Drosophila melanogaster: one gene and its partners. The protein of the gene in region 3 interacts with the protein of the main gene of each other region in a pairwise test. Each region holds a gene or a part of one and is shown on either strand. Other genes may lie near its edges.

Region 1 (3,099 bases), on a different chromosome or scaffold from region 3:
GTATATTCTTATTTAAGCACGCTTCAAATTAATATTCATTTATTTCAATGAAAAATTAGCTCTGAACGTACACGAAAATGATTGCTAGAAAATTTCCCAGCATTGATTAACAATTATTCCAATTATTCTTATTCTTATATTATAATTTTAACGACTGATGCATTTCTCAATCACAGCCATTTCTAAATCAATCGTCAAATCTAAACTAACTGCAAATTTTAAAAGTATTGTAGTGATTTAGAAAATATAGGTCTTTCGCTAAATGATTACCGAAATACTCGTGTTGCGTCTACGTTTCTGGAATCTCCCTGCTGCATTTTAACTTTTTAGCTTTTATAGCTTTCGAGATCACAGCATTCATAGGAACAGTCGGATACATAGTCGTGAAAACAGTGATTCTTATTAAAAGTATATATACAATACGGGCTCGAAAACTTTAGCTTCCTTTTACCCATTACGTACTTTTCAACGAATTTAGTATACATTTTTACTCTACTAGTTTGATATGCAAACTACAACATTTTACTAAAGTTTGGGCATTTAAGAAGTTACTAGAATATTACTTGTATATATCAGAAATTTCGGGCTTTCAAAATCCCCAGATCTTAGACGGTCAAAGATCCCAATGAATTTCTTTTTTGTAAGAAAGCACTTCCAATACAGCCTTTTATTGTAAAACTGTTTTTTTAATTTGATATACAGATAAAAATGTGGGCGTGGCAGTTTTGGGCTGTTTTAGGGCGTTAGAGTGGGCGTGGTAAAATGCTCTTTTGCAAATCGATAGCAATTAACTTGACTAATGGAAATATAAAAATATATAAAAACATTTTTAATAAGTGGGAGTGGCAGTTTTGGGCGTCTTGTGGGCGTTGCAACATGGGTCAAAAAACTTGCACTGCGTCTAAGTCTCTAGAAACTGTATTAATCTTAATCTTCTAGCATACGGACATGGTCAGATCCATTCGGCTACTGATCCTGATCAGGAATTTATATATTTTATATGGTCATAAACGCTTTCTTCAGGGAACTCAACTATAGCATTCTCTCTTGCTTTCATAGTTCCCGAGAATTCGACGTTCATCCGGCCGAACATGTGTTACGTACTTCCAAACGAATCTAGTATACCCTGTTATTCTACGAGTATCGTTTTTTTTTTTGCAAGTCCAAAAATCTAATACTTCAGCAATTTATGGGGTCATATAATCGATATAAGCGTTCATTTTTATTATATTTATCGTCCTAGATAATCACAGCATAAAAATTTAGATGAGAAATGGTGCAGGAGCAGCAGCGTAGCTCAGTGGTGCGGAGTAAGCCAAAGGCGAGGAGTAGGCCAGTCGTGCAGCCAGAGGAGTAGCCGCGTACTTCGCCACCACAGGAGCAGCCAGAGGAGTAGCCGCGTACTTCGCCACCACAGGAGCAGCCAGAGGAGCAGCAACGGGAGCAATCACAGGAGCAGAGGCGATTCCATTGTAATTCCTGGCGATAACCTGGCTACTGGTTGCGGTCACAACTGGAGCGGGAGCAGCTACCACGGCAGCAGGAGCAGAGTAAGCCAGAGGAGCAGTGTAAGCAAGGGGAGCACCCAGGAGTCCAGGCTTGGCAGCAGCGCAGGCAACGAGAGCGAGAACGACGACAGCCTGTGAACAAATAAACTTGATTAGTTTAATCCTTTGGGTGTCCTTTCTGAAGAACGTACGTATTTGAACATGGTGAAATATTTGTTTGGTTTGCTTCTTCGGAAGGCTAGAAACTCTTTGATATCCCACTGCTCTTCGTGGAGCATATTTATACCCGAATGTTTGCTCAGATCTGACTCATGATCGCACTCATTCAGTTCATTTAAATGCGGTGACAGTCTCCCGTTACCATTTACCATTTGCACTGTGCCGTAGTTTATGTGATTTCCCACTGCTGACTGCAGAATGTGGAATAACTCTTGGTGGCCACGGAATGCGATGGCCTGAGGTCACAGACGCAGTCCCGATGCGGCGTATAAATAGTGGTATGGAATGTGTTGGACGACATCAGACAAGTTCAAGTTTTCGAACCGTAAGCACCAGATCCATAATCATAATGTTCAAATCCGTAAGTTTGGAATCTTAGCTTCCTGCCATATTTACTCATCGCATTTTATTGACAGGCCGTTGTTATTCTGGCTATCGTTGCCTGCGCTGCTGCCAAGCCTGGACTTCTGGGTGCTCCCCTTGCTTACACTGCTCCTCTGGCTTACTCTGCTCCTCTGGCTTACTCAGCTCCTGCTGCCGTGGTAGCTGCTCCCGCTCCAGTTGTGACCGCCACCAGTAGCCAGGTTATCGCCAGGAACTACAATGGAATCGCCGCTGCTCCTGTGATTGCTCCCGTTGCCGCTCCTGTGGTGGCCAAGTACGCTGCTGCTCCATTGGCCGCTCCTGTGGTGGCCAAGTACGCTGCTGCTCCATTGGCTGCTCCTGTTGTGGCCAAGTACGCTGCTGCTCCATTGGCCCACATTTCCTCCTTGGCTTACACCTCGCCTTTGGCATACAGTGCCTTGCCATCAGCTCCTGTTCTTCTTTAGAAAACTTTAAAAGTAATAAAAAAAATCAAACGAACTCCAATTTCTCCCATTTTTTGGGGCTTCGCTAATTGGATTTACCGCTGGCATACTAAAGCGTCGAAATCGACAACCTACTGATGGGGGGCATTTGAAAATTTCGAACGCAGGTCACGTAATGGTCATAAAAATTATTGTCAGCTCAGCGGCAGTTGCTGCTGTCCAATGTTTGTTACATTAAATTGTGCGAAATTGATTTGTATTATAGGTTTATTTTATTTTTCGGCTTTGAGTACAGACCTTGGCAATTATGTCAAGGTCAAAGCTGACCTGTGACCGATATGAGCCACAGATTTGGCACAATCAACCTGTCTTAGAACCGATGGCCCAATTTGCGTTTGGTTGCCTATTTACAGAATATCCGTGTCTTTAAAAAGGTTTTTATTGCGATTGCGGAATATATGTTTTAAATATATGTTAAATATATGTTATTGCCCCAGAGTAAAATCGGTATATGTACTATATTCAAGGAAAAGTGGGTGAAAGGTAGAAGGAATAGTTTCCGA
Region 2 (5,938 bases), on a different chromosome or scaffold from region 3:
GGCGAGGCCAAGGATCGTCATTTGGTGGCCGAGCGACTGAAGCAGCACGTGTCTGATCCGAACAACCCACCGATCCTTATCTTCCCGGAGGGAACTTGCATCAACAACACGTCGGTCATGCAGTTCAAGAAGGGCAGCTTCGAAGTTGGCGGCGTCATCTACCCGGTGGCCATTAAGTGAGTAGTGAATAGTTTTTCGCGGCGAAACCATTTCTCATCCGTGGGGTCTCTTTTGGCTTGAAGGTACGATCCGAGGTTCGGCGACGCCTTCTGGAACAGCGCGAAGTACTCGATGATGCAGTATCTGTACATGATGATGACCTCGTGGGCCATCGTGTGCGATGTGTGGTACCTGCCGCCGATGTACAGGCAGGAGGGAGAGTCGGCGATCGACTTCGCGAACCGCGTGAAGAGTGTCATCGCGAAGCAGGGAGGTTTGATTGATCTGGTCTGGGACGGGCAGCTGAAGCGCATGAAGCCAAAGAAGGAGTGGAGGGAGATCCAGCAAGTCGAGTTTGCCAATCGGCTGAAGTCGGACTCCACCTAAATTACCATATTACCATACAGTGACTGTAAATGATATACATACATGATTTTGCATAATTTGTATTGCAGCGACTGTAATTTGTATAAATTACGATTAACAATTGGATGGTTAAATAAAAGATGAAGTCAAATGTACAATTATAATAATTATTTGTATATTAATTAATTTATCTACTTTGTAAAATAAACGATATCTGATAAGCTGATTATCATAACATCTGGACCCGATCGCTGTAAATTCATTTCTTTGTCATGCAAAACGCCAGCCACACTCTGGCGAAGAATGGGCTCGAAGGTGAGGCCTCTTTGTTGGATGGAGCGAGACCAGGTCAGCAACCTATGGATGTTGATTTTTGGCCACCTGCATATCATGCATAGTTAAGCGGAGCCAAATGAAGCCAACAAGATGGCGAATAACTAGATTACATATTCATAATTATGCGGCTAATAATAAATACGAGTGGCTGACTCAGCGCTGCGCCAAATGTCTATTTTGCACTAATTGTCCACCCATACAGGTAATTAAGACATACATACTTCCGTGTTCCGAGTTGGAGGCGATCGGTCGATCGAGTGGTTAATTCCCGACATTCTTGGCGATGAACTAACCCTGAACTGTCGCCAAAAATAATGGTGGTATCGGATCGGATCGGCACGCGGATAAACAATGCTGGCAAAGCAAACCACATTGTCAGATTTGTCGAGTCAATGGGCCTGGCCTTCATAAATTGTTAGGCTCATTGCCAATCGCAAGTGAGCGATTTACAATTAACAAATACCCAGAGCCCCTCTATTTATAGATATGTTTATACATGGGCATCGCAGGCGCTGATGAAAAGATGCTTCACTCCATCCACATACACATCCACATCCACATCCATATTCATATTCATATCCATGTGCATATTCGTTTGGCCCCCCAATTGAAACACTTGTGGCTGGCCACTCGATCCACTCTCCAAAAACGCTCTTTCGAAAACTGGAACCTATTTTCGAACACTTTATGGCATGTAAATCCGATTCCGATTCCAAATCCGATTCCAATTCCGATCGAGCGATCAATGCGTAATGGGTTTATTTATGGATCTGGGTTGAGCAGTTATGAGCTATTTTCGAATTTCTAAGTTTAAAATAAGGCCATGAATGTACTTTGATACACATCGCATGGGTGTGCATATATTTTTAGACTACAAACATACATATTTACATCTGCGCGGATTTTGGTGTGCGTGTCGAAAGCTAATAAATTAATTGTTGCGTAAAATCAGATTACATATGGGTTAGTTGGTTGGATGGATGGTTGGTTGGTTAGTTGGTTGGTTATACGGGTAGAACCTTCGTGAGAAACAGCCCATTATATATTTCGATTTTTCCCCAAAAATCTTGCATGCCTCGCACTTGAGAGTGCAGTAGAACAAAACAAATTACTTCAAGACGAGGCAAATTCCTTCCCAGTGGGTGAAGATATAGTAATCCAAGTTAGTCTAACTGGTCTGTTACCAGCCCAGGAATGAGACATCGGGGCGTGGATATAGCCGAGAGTACACATACATAGAGCCGTGGGCATTGCATGATAAATAAATGATATATTCAGAAAGTGCTGTTTTTATTACGCAAACTGTATTTTCTTAGTTGTGCCGTGTGCATCCACAAATATAGACTACCTGTGTACAGAATCTTTCCAGTCTAGTCCGCGGCATTTCCGACGAATAGGAACTACTTCACAGAGTACCTCCGAGGTATATATCCTTAGGATTATATATATATATATATACATATATATATGTGTGTATATAATTGAATCGCGCTGATCCACCACACGCATAGCCGCTGCAGTTTGCCATAATCACAGTTTTTTGCCCCCGCAGACACACACACGCACTCAGATCAAAATGCCTTTCGTTCCCGTTGAAACCCCCAAGTGCCCCGCGTGCGGCAAGTCGGTCTACGCTGCCGAGGAGCGCGTTGCCGGAGGCTACAAATTCCACAAGACCTGCTTCAAGTGCAGTAAGTATAAATGTCCTGCCAGCCAGATCGTCTGGACTTGGTCCTTCGAGTCGGATGTCGGATAGCTAACGCAAAACCCTACCCCCCTCCCCCTCCACTCGCCCGTTTCAGGCATGTGCAACAAGGCCCTGGACTCGACCAACTGCACGGAGCACGAGAAGGAGCTTTTCTGCAAAAACTGCCATGGTCGCAAATACGGTCCCAAGGGATACGGTTTCGGTGGTGGTGCCGGCTGCCTGTCCACGGACACTGGCGCCCACTTAAACAGAGAGTAAGGACTAAATAAGAAATATGTTTTGTATGAAAATTGTGTAAAATTCCTTGAATTAAATGTGTAGTTTTGCTTTCTATTAGAACCTGTATGTTTTCAATGTTTTCCACACGCCCACCCCCAAAAAAGCAACCGAAAAATTTGTTTTTAACTTTCCGGGCAGAAACCGCCAGGGATATCCAGTTTCTGATTCCCTGGAAAATTCCACTAACACTAACCGATTGTTAATGTTAAACTAGCAAACACATTGTGGTCTTTGGTGAAATAATTCTTGTATCTTTGTTTACAACGTCCGCGGACTGTAAATTGATAAAATAAATGTACAATAAAACAAAGTAGTTGTAAGCTTATTCACATGTTATTTATAGGTTTCTATTCGCATCTCCCTCGCTGCTGTCTATGTGGATTTCGTGTATTTCCCCAATTCGTTTTTTGTTCGGGCACAACGACCGACCTTTCTGACTTTTGTTCCTCGTCTTGTGTGTGACTAAGATGAAACAACCCCCCCCCCCCCCCACATTGGATGTCCACCGAGAGCGCCGTAATTGAGGGAGGCATTTGAATCTTTCTAGATTCGTTCCGCCCAAGATTCCCCCAAAAGCACCCGACGGGCTGGGCTGCCCACGGTGTGGCATATATGTGTATGCCGCCGAGCAGATGCTGGCCAGAGGAAAGGTGAACTATTGAAACGATCTCGGTCCGTCGGCCCTTGTCTTAGGTGGTGTTCTTTATCGCAGGGTTACCATCGAAGGTGCTTTAAGTGCGTGCAATGCAACAAGACTCTAGACTCAACTCTTCACTGTGATGGTCCGGACAAGGACATTTACTGTAGAGGTACATTTCCAACCCATAGATTTTAGAGAATTAGGATCTCTAGAAGCATTCGCTTTTCAGGATGTTATGCTCAGAAGTTTGGGGCCAGGGGTTACGGGCACATCGGCATTTCGTCCTTGGGGTTGATGTCCGACATCAGGGATAGCGAGTGGCAAAGGTGAGATTAGTAGTAACACCAATTCTGGCTAGGTTATTATGTTGGTGCTTGCAGCGACATGGCTCCCAAAGCCTCCATCATAAATGTGGAGCAAATCCAGGCGCCAATCGGAGAAGGATGCCCACGTTGTGGCGGCGTAGTATTCGCCGCGGAACAAGTTCTCTCCAAGGGAAGGAGCTGGCACCGGAAGTGCTTCAAGTGTCGGGACTGCACCAAAACTCTGGACTCCATTATCGCGTGCGATGGTCCGGACAATGAGGTCTACTGCAAGACTTGCTATGGCAAGAAGTGGGGACCCCATGGCTACGGATTCGCCTGTGGATCCAGTTTCCTGCAAACCGACGGCATTACGTGAGTGGTTTCCATTCCAAGGCTCATCTTGAATTTGGATAAAACAAGCTTTCAATCATATTCGTCAAAATCCAATCCATAATTTGACTGAAAGAGATTTGTTACAGTGAGGAGAACTTGGCATCCGAACGACCCTTTGTGGCTCCGGACACCACTTCGATCATGGCTCCGGACGGCGAGGGATGTCCCCGATGTGGCGGAGCGGTCTTTGCGGCCGAGCTGCAGCTGTCCAAGGGGAAGATGTACCACAGGAAGTGCTTCAACTGCGCCAGGTGCACCCGACCCCTGGACTCGGTGCTCGCCTGTGACGGACCGGATGACAATATCTATTGCAAGCTCTGCTACGCGAAGCTCTTTGGCCCCAAAGGCGTCGGGTACGGACACACGCCCACCCTGGTGTCCACCAACTACGAGTACACGCCCAGCTGGTAAGTCCGTTGTCCAGTTCAAAGAGAGTTCGTCTGGATCCAAGGATCTCTTCTTCCAGCTGGGGAACCATCGATCGCAACGGACAAAAGTCGGAGAACGGGTGTCCGCGATGCGGATTCATGGTCTTCGCCGCGGAACAGGTGAAGAGCGCGAAGAACGTGTGGCACAAGCTCTGTTTCTACTGCATGGAGTGCCGGAAATACCTGGACTCGACCAATCTGAACGACGGACCCGATGGCGGCATCTATTGCCGATCGTGCTACGCCAAGTTCTATGGGCCAAAGGGTGTGGGCTACGGAATCGGAGCTGGCACACTGACAATGGCTTAACAACTCGACCAAAAAAGCGCGTTCAAGAACTAATCCCACCAGCATGGAATAAGCTCCAAGATTCGTGCTGGGGATTTCAGTCCTTGAGCGCCCACATTTTTGAGGATGACGAATAGGTGTAGTATTGCAATTCCACAAGAGTGTACTTTTAGCTCCAAGACAACGACATTTAGTTATGAAAGTATAGAAGGCGAATGAGTTGGCGGTGGTTAGTATAGAAATTGTATAAGTCTCGAACATAAGTACCGAAAAATGCATTCTAACCTTCGACTTGAACTTCATCGTAAAACCTGCGAAAACGAATTTCCAAACCTTGTTTATCGAGGATGCCCAAGAATCCAAAGGATTGGTGTGCAAATGCAAATGCACACCATTTTCAATCGATACCGCCATTCGAAATCCTTTGAACTTCTGAGTTACTCCCTATGATATGATATACATATATGGCAGTCGTAGCAACAAATCAATATCCTATAAGTTTCGAACGACTAATAAACGACAAGTGGTAACTTTGTACATGTGGTTCTGTTGTTTTCAAATATTTATTATATAATAAGTAATAAGTAACGGTAGGACAGATTACTTGGAGAGGGTCAAAGCGTCATCTATTGCAGGAGCTCTTTATTCAAAATATATTAACGATAATGCTAAGGGTACATAGTATGGGAACGGAAGTGGCGATCACCAGGCCGCTGCCCGAGAACGTGGAGTTGCAGCAGTCGGCGGAGAAGACAAGGATCTTGGGGTACAGCGATCTCCAGAAGTTGATCCGCTGGTTGTTCAGCAGGTTGTCCGTGTTGAAGCTCTCGTCGATCAGAAGCACTGAATCGTTATTGGGGGTCATGGCGTTCCACTTCACGTACACGTTCGACTTCGTGGGGTTCGAGGTCTTGGCGAAGTTCGCCCACAGGGTCATGATGATGTCGGCGATCTTCTTGTCGGTCGACTTCCAGTCAACGGAGTTGGTCATGTAGGGATTGCCCCACACGAAGATCTGGTCGAAGTACTTGGGCAC
Region 3 (3,288 bases):
TTTGCATACGTGATCGAGGAGAAGGAGAAGGGTGCGTCTCGCAGGACGGGAGGGTCAAACATCATTTTTCATTTATCCTCCGCAAAAAAAGTAGAGGTAGAAACGAAAAAAATCGTTGTGCTTTCGAATAGAAAAATACGTAAATTATTTAAATACATTTTTTTCACGCCATTTTTCAGAGTCCTGCGCATTAGGAAGTCGAGCTGCGAGCTCTAAACAATCATCAGCATCCTTAGAGAACTGGGTCACTTTTCTATGCAAATGGGAAGAGGATAAGGAGGAGGGACCCACCCCGAGATCCGCGCTGCCATCCTGGCACATCCTTTTGATCGGTCGTCCTTTTCTTCACATCTGTGGTCCTTCGGTTATTTGTTTATCTCTCCTTTGCATACTCGGGCTTTGCATCCGCCCATTTGAAACGCCTTGGGCGAGTTTCTCAGTCAATATTTGCTCATTAGTCGCGTTCTATAATTCTAATTATTATAATTATTCCCCCCAATGGAAAATGAAAAATTGATCAAGCAGCTGCTTAAACCTAAAAGGGTTCGAAAACCTTTCGATTCATAAAGCATACAAATAGTTAAATGCATTTTTATTTTGCATTTTAAGACCAACTACTATACCAGTGGTTAAGTAATGATCTGATGTAAGCTAAAAATGACTGTTCCATTGTGCAACAGTTTAGTTGCGTTATGCATCAAATTTAAAACCCGTCGAAAATTCCATGCTCATCGCCGAAAATCAATCAAATTATACCCTTCACGGGTTAAACACAATAATATCCATGAAATTCTTAAAGAAACCGAAAAAATTATGCAAAATTTATTCAAACGCTGAAATCAAAATTTCGCAAGCTTCAATCATTGTTTTGTGTTTGTTGGGTTTTATTGGCGGCAAATTAATTAAGTTACTTAATTACAGGTACAAGACGGTCAAAGGTCGATTCCCGCTTACCTTTCGCAAGTTCTCCTCATCCGAAAACAGGTTGACTTGTGCCAAAACTTAATTTTCGAAAGCTTTTCGATTGTCCATTAGTGGGAGTTTTGCAAGTAGTTCCTTTCGGTATTCGCCAACGAGCATACCCTGTACGAAAATATAGTATCTACTTATATAACTGATACACACTAATCCTAGAGGGTATCAATAAATGCAGCATACCCTACCTTTCGTTTAGATAAATTTGCGTTAGAAGAGACATAATGATTGATCGTGTGCCAATTGTAGACGAACCAAAAGTGGAACCGTTTTTTAGAGAAATGGGAAGGGAGGGGCGGGGATTGTTGGGGGAGACCATTAGGAATTTTTTTTTATTTTTGCTGCCTTTTGTTCACTGCCAAATAAATTTCATTTTTATTTGCCTTCTTTATTTGTTTTTGTTGCTGTCGGTACGCAATTTAAGTGAATATTCGGTTTCTAGTCAAACCGGTTCGTATTGGACAGACTTTTTGGGAATTTGTAATTCAGCGTACTGATATATCTTATGTATGTATATTTGTAGATAAGAACCAATCAATTTGGCAGCGAGTAAGTAATTTTACATTTTATGCTGGACTTTTATTTCGCAAGAAAACTGTTATTCGGTTATTTAACTATATTCAAGCAAAGAAACAATCTAACAAAGAATTAAGATTCTGCTAAGCCAAGGCTTATAAATGCAATACAAAAATATTTAAATTAGCCCATATTGTAATATTTCAATACTGTATTAAGTTAAAGGGATTCTTTTCGTAGAATCCCAGTAAACTGATAGAAAATTCTACTAAAGATCAAAAGTAAAGATTCACACTGAAATATATATGCTACATACATCTATTTGTTGTGAAAATATTCTACCCAATTAATCCTTAAAAATGTTGGCCGGCTGCCCCGATGAGCTGCCCAATCCGCACAAGAACTGCCTGCACGAGATGCTCCAGGCGTTGATCTGCAACGACAACGATGTGAAGCGCTTGAACACGGAGCTAAGGAATCTGAATCTAGAGCTAAAGGCGGAGCTGGCCAAGATTAACAAGGCGAACCAGAAGTGCGGGCACGAGAAGAAGGGCAAGGTAGTTTGCGAGAGCACCGAGGATGTGACGAAATTCGCCCAGCGGATCAATAGCCTGGAAGAGGTGACAGCGCACTTCACCCAGCGTAGTGAGGAGATTCGAAAGAGGCGGGACAACATCATCATCTATGCCCGCCAGTGCCTGTATGCCTACAACGAGGAGAAGTGCAAGTTCAAGTCGTTCCACGAGAACACGGTGGACTACATAAAGCGGACGGCGACACTCTCCCAGGATGCGGAGGTTATCCGGGCATGCGGAAAGGAGGTGTGCGAGCTGCATAAGCGCTTCGTGCGTGAGGTGGCCAAGCTGAAGAGCTGCGAGGCGGAGCTGCTGCCCTTTTTCAAACTGCTCAAGGATTCCGATCCGAAGACCTACTGCGAGTGCTGCTGTTTCAAGGGATACGACTGGATGCCCAAGAGCAAGAATCTGGAGGCCGTGGATGCAATGGCTGGCGAGATCAAGGAACAGATGGGCGACGTACTGGTCAGGGCCTTCGCTCAACTGCACATTCATTCGCCGCAGGATCCACGCGCCTTTATTGCCGCCTATCTGATGAATCTTGATCGTAACGAGCAGGAAATGAAGGAGAAGCTCGTGATTTTCCAAGCAGATCCAGCAGTGCAACCCCAGGAGCTTTCGGATCCCACATTCAATTGCGAGGATATTTGTCCGAAGCCTGAATGATATCATTATTAATCCACGATTGTATTCGAATAATAACTTTAAATTGGCGAGCTAAGTACACAGAATTTATTGCCACCAGCGGAAAAATTTAAATGAAAAGCGGCTTTCTTCAAACATTTTATTAATTCAAAATAAACACGCAATACATTTTGGGACATATGGTTTTCTACGTAGTAGTAGTTATATTTAATCCTTAGGTTTTCGTTATACAAAGGAAATCACATATAGAGCTGTTATAAACCTTATATACTCGGTTTGCATAGCCATCTAAGATCGGGTAAACAATGCAGCTTGGATATAAAGACGGCGTACGGTGGCTATGATTTATTTCTTGCGACGATTACGGCGCCGGGTGTTGGGATCCGGTTCCTTCTCTGCAATGCCTGTAACGGTGCCACCCGCTATCTCGGTGTTGGCCAACTTTTGCTGATTGTCCAAAAAGAACATAATGTCGCGAAGCTGTTCCTTTAATTCGGTCACCTCGGCGTCGTGGGTTTGCTTGAACTCGTTGTACTGCTGTTCCAAGAGTTTGTATTTGCCGTGCCAGGAGCTCTGG
Region 4 (2,706 bases), on a different chromosome or scaffold from region 3:
ACTTATTAAAAATGTTTTTATATATTTTCACATTTGCATTAGTCAAGTTAATTGCTATCGATTTGCAAAAAAGCATTTTACCACGCCCACTCTAACGCCCTAAAACAGCCCAAAACTGCCACGCCCACATTTTTATCTGTATATCAAATTCTTTCGCCTGCAAAACGACAAAACGGTCACGCCCACACTTTTAACAATTTTAAATTTTTTCTCATTTTATTCCCAAATATCTATAGATATTCCAGAAAAATGAATAATTTTTTCGTTCGCATTCACACTAGCTGAGTAACGGGTATCTGATAGTCGGGGAACTCGTTTATAGCATTCTCTCTTTTTATTTTTTCTACCCAGAACACGCCCCTTGTAAAGCCCACAATCCGTCAATAAACTGATTCTCTCACACATTTGATAAATGTGTATGATAGATGTTGAAATTTCTCGTTCACAGTTCGACTAGCTAAGTAACGGGTATCTGATAGTAGGGGAACTGTACTATGACGTTCTCTCTTTTTTTTAGTTTATATGCGTTCGGTTTTAATAAAACATTAGTTTTACAATAAAAGGCCTTATTGGATTCTATAAAAATTATGTAAAACGTTGAATAAAGTGCTTTCGCACAAAAAGAAATTAAGTGGAATCTTTGACCGTCTAAGATCTGGGGATCTTAAAAGCTCGGAAGTTCGGATTTTTTGTAGTTAGATTCAACATATTATAGGGCTGTGATTAAGAAATGTTTCAGTCGTTGGGTGGCGCTAGTGTGCATTCTCGGAATAATTGTTCATAAATGCTGGGAAATTATCGAGGAATCATCTTCGTGCGTTTTTAAAGCGTATTTAAAAAATATACAATTGAATAACGTCTTATTATATCTCCATTTATTATCGTTGTCTCCGATGTGATCACAGCTTAGTAATTTAGATAAGGAGCGGTCCTGAAGCAGCGGCGTAGCTCAGTGGTGCGGAGTAAGCCAAAGGAGAGGAGTAGGCCAGTGGTGCAGCCAGAGGAGTAGCCGCGTACTTCGCCACCACAGGAGCAGCCAGAGGAGCAGCAACGGGAGCAATCACAGGAGCAGCGGCGATTCCATTGTAATTCCTGGCGATGACCTGGCTACTGGTTGCGGTCACAACTGGAGCGGGAGCAGCTACCACGGCAGCAGGAGCAGAGTAAGCCAGAGGAGCAGTGTAAGCAAGGGGAGCACCCAGGAGTCCAGGCTTGGCAGCAGCGCAGGCAACGAGAGCGAGAACGACGACAGCCTGTGAACAAATTAACTTGATTAGTTTAATCCTTTGGGTGTCCTTTCTGAAGAACGTACGTATTTGAACATGGTGAAATATTTGTTTGGTTTGCTTCTTCGGAAGGCTAGAAACTCTTTGATATCCCACTGCTCTTCGTGGAGCATATTTATACCCGAATGTTTGCTCAGATCTGACTCATGATCGCACGCATTTAAATGCGGTGACAGTCTCCCGTTACCATTTACCATTTACCATTTACCATTTGCACTTTGCCGTAGTTTATGTGATTTCCCACTGCTGACTGCAGAATGTGGAATAACTCTTAGTGGCCACGGAATGCGATGGCCTGAGGTCACAGACGCAGTCCCGATGCGGCGTATAAATAGTGGTATGGAATGTGTTGGACGACATCAGACAAGTTCAAGTTTTCGAACCGTAAGCACCAGATCCATAATCATAATGTTCAAATCCGTAAGTTTGGAATCTTAGCTTCCTGCCATATTTACTCATCGCATTTTATTGACAGGCCGTTGTTATTCTGGCTATCGTTGCCTGCGCTGCTGCCAAGCCTGGACTTCTGGGTGCTCCCCTTGCTTACACTGCTCCTCTGGCTTACTCTGCTCCTCTGGCTTACTCAGCTCCTGCTGCCGTGGTAGCTGCTCCCGCTCCAGTTGTGACCGCCACCAGTAGCCAGGTTATCGCCAGGAACTACAATGGAATCGCCGTTGCTCCTGTGATTGCTCCCGTTGCCGCTCCTGTGGTGGCCAAGTACACTGCTGCTCCTTTTGCCTACGCTTCTCCTTTGGCCTACTCCGCTCCTCTGGCTTACACTTCTCCATTGGCTTATAAAACTCTTCCGGCTGCTGCTCCAGTTCTTCTGTAAGAACGTCGACTGATCAATAAAAATACAAAAAAATGAGATAAATCAGTAGAAATTACTTCAATGGGCCAGTGGTACTGAGGACTACCGCACAATTTAAATTGAATTAGCCACTGACAGCTAGCCGTGCTCATAAACAACGGTAATGACTGGCCTCTGGAACTCCAACGCCTCGTTTGCGGATGCATATCACGTAGCCAGTGGACAAGTTATTGGCCACCGGCAGCCGTCGCTGGATGCGTGATATTTAAAAGTGGCCAAAATGGTTTGTTTTGAAGTTGTTGGGCGACTGAAATATGTAATTAAGTCAAGGTCGCGGAGCAGTCGAGGTCGGGCTAATGAACTTTCCAGTGCTAATTGAAAGAAATCAAGGGCTTAAAAAGTAATGACATTTTAATTTAACGGTACTAGGCAGTTAAGTATTAACACTCAGATGGTAGTTACGAACAAATTTTAAGCCATGGAAAAATAAGCCATTAGGCTGAAAGAAACAATCTTTTCTTGGTTGCTTATCAAATTCCAGGTAGGTGTTAAGATTTTACTCTATAATGTAGATATGTACTCAGTTTTTAAGTTTTAATGGAGTCCGAA

The links.
Region 1: the proteins of CG14282 (region 3) and CG18294 interact in a two-hybrid assay, tested with the Drosophila melanogaster proteins (one large-scale study listed by BioGRID).
Region 2: the proteins of CG14282 (region 3) and Mlp60A interact in a two-hybrid assay, tested with the Drosophila melanogaster proteins (one large-scale study listed by BioGRID).
Region 4: the proteins of CG14282 (region 3) and CG14096 interact in a two-hybrid assay, tested with the Drosophila melanogaster proteins (one large-scale study listed by BioGRID).

What each region holds. Positions count from the first base shown.
Region 1 is NT_037436.4:19,474,502-19,477,600, reverse strand, and holds CG18294 (uncharacterized protein), read left to right. Parts: upstream 1-2,022; 5' UTR 2,023-2,076; coding exon 2,077-2,088; exon of another isoform or gene 2,089-2,143; coding exon 2,144-2,557; 3' UTR 2,558-2,584; downstream 2,585-3,099. Other genes in the region: CG32213 (uncharacterized protein), read right to left, coding at 1,263-1,640, 1,700-1,711.
Region 2 is NT_033778.4:24,072,786-24,078,723, forward strand, and holds Mlp60A (muscle LIM protein at 60A), read left to right. Parts: upstream 1-1,816; 5' UTR 1,817-2,284; intron 2,285-2,388; exon of another isoform or gene 2,389-2,413; 5' UTR 2,414-2,437; coding exon 2,438-2,552; intron 2,553-2,663; coding exon 2,664-2,823; coding exon of another isoform or gene 2,824-2,827; exon of another isoform or gene 2,828-3,169; intron 3,170-3,395; coding exon 3,396-3,498; intron 3,499-3,560; coding exon 3,561-3,657; intron 3,658-3,717; coding exon 3,718-3,814; intron 3,815-3,868; coding exon 3,869-4,165; intron 4,166-4,272; coding exon 4,273-4,593; intron 4,594-4,652; coding exon 4,653-4,923; 3' UTR 4,924-5,438; downstream 5,439-5,938. Other genes in the region: Gpat4 (Glycerol-3-phosphate acyltransferase 4), read left to right, coding at 1-176, 243-546; CG10339 (uncharacterized protein), read right to left, coding at 5,549-5,938. UniProt on the Drosophila melanogaster protein: Positive regulator of myogenesis.
Region 3 is NT_033777.3:19,175,202-19,178,489, forward strand, and holds CG14282 (uncharacterized protein), read left to right. Parts: upstream 1-1,798; 5' UTR 1,799-1,850; coding exon 1,851-2,732; 3' UTR 2,733-2,785; downstream 2,786-3,288. Other genes in the region: CG5555 (uncharacterized protein), read right to left, coding at 3,057-3,288.
Region 4 is NT_037436.4:19,466,018-19,468,723, reverse strand, and holds CG14096 (uncharacterized protein), read left to right. Parts: upstream 1-1,644; 5' UTR 1,645-1,694; coding exon 1,695-1,706; intron 1,707-1,761; coding exon 1,762-2,118; 3' UTR 2,119-2,157; downstream 2,158-2,706. Other genes in the region: CG32214 (uncharacterized protein), read right to left, coding at 915-1,253, 1,313-1,324.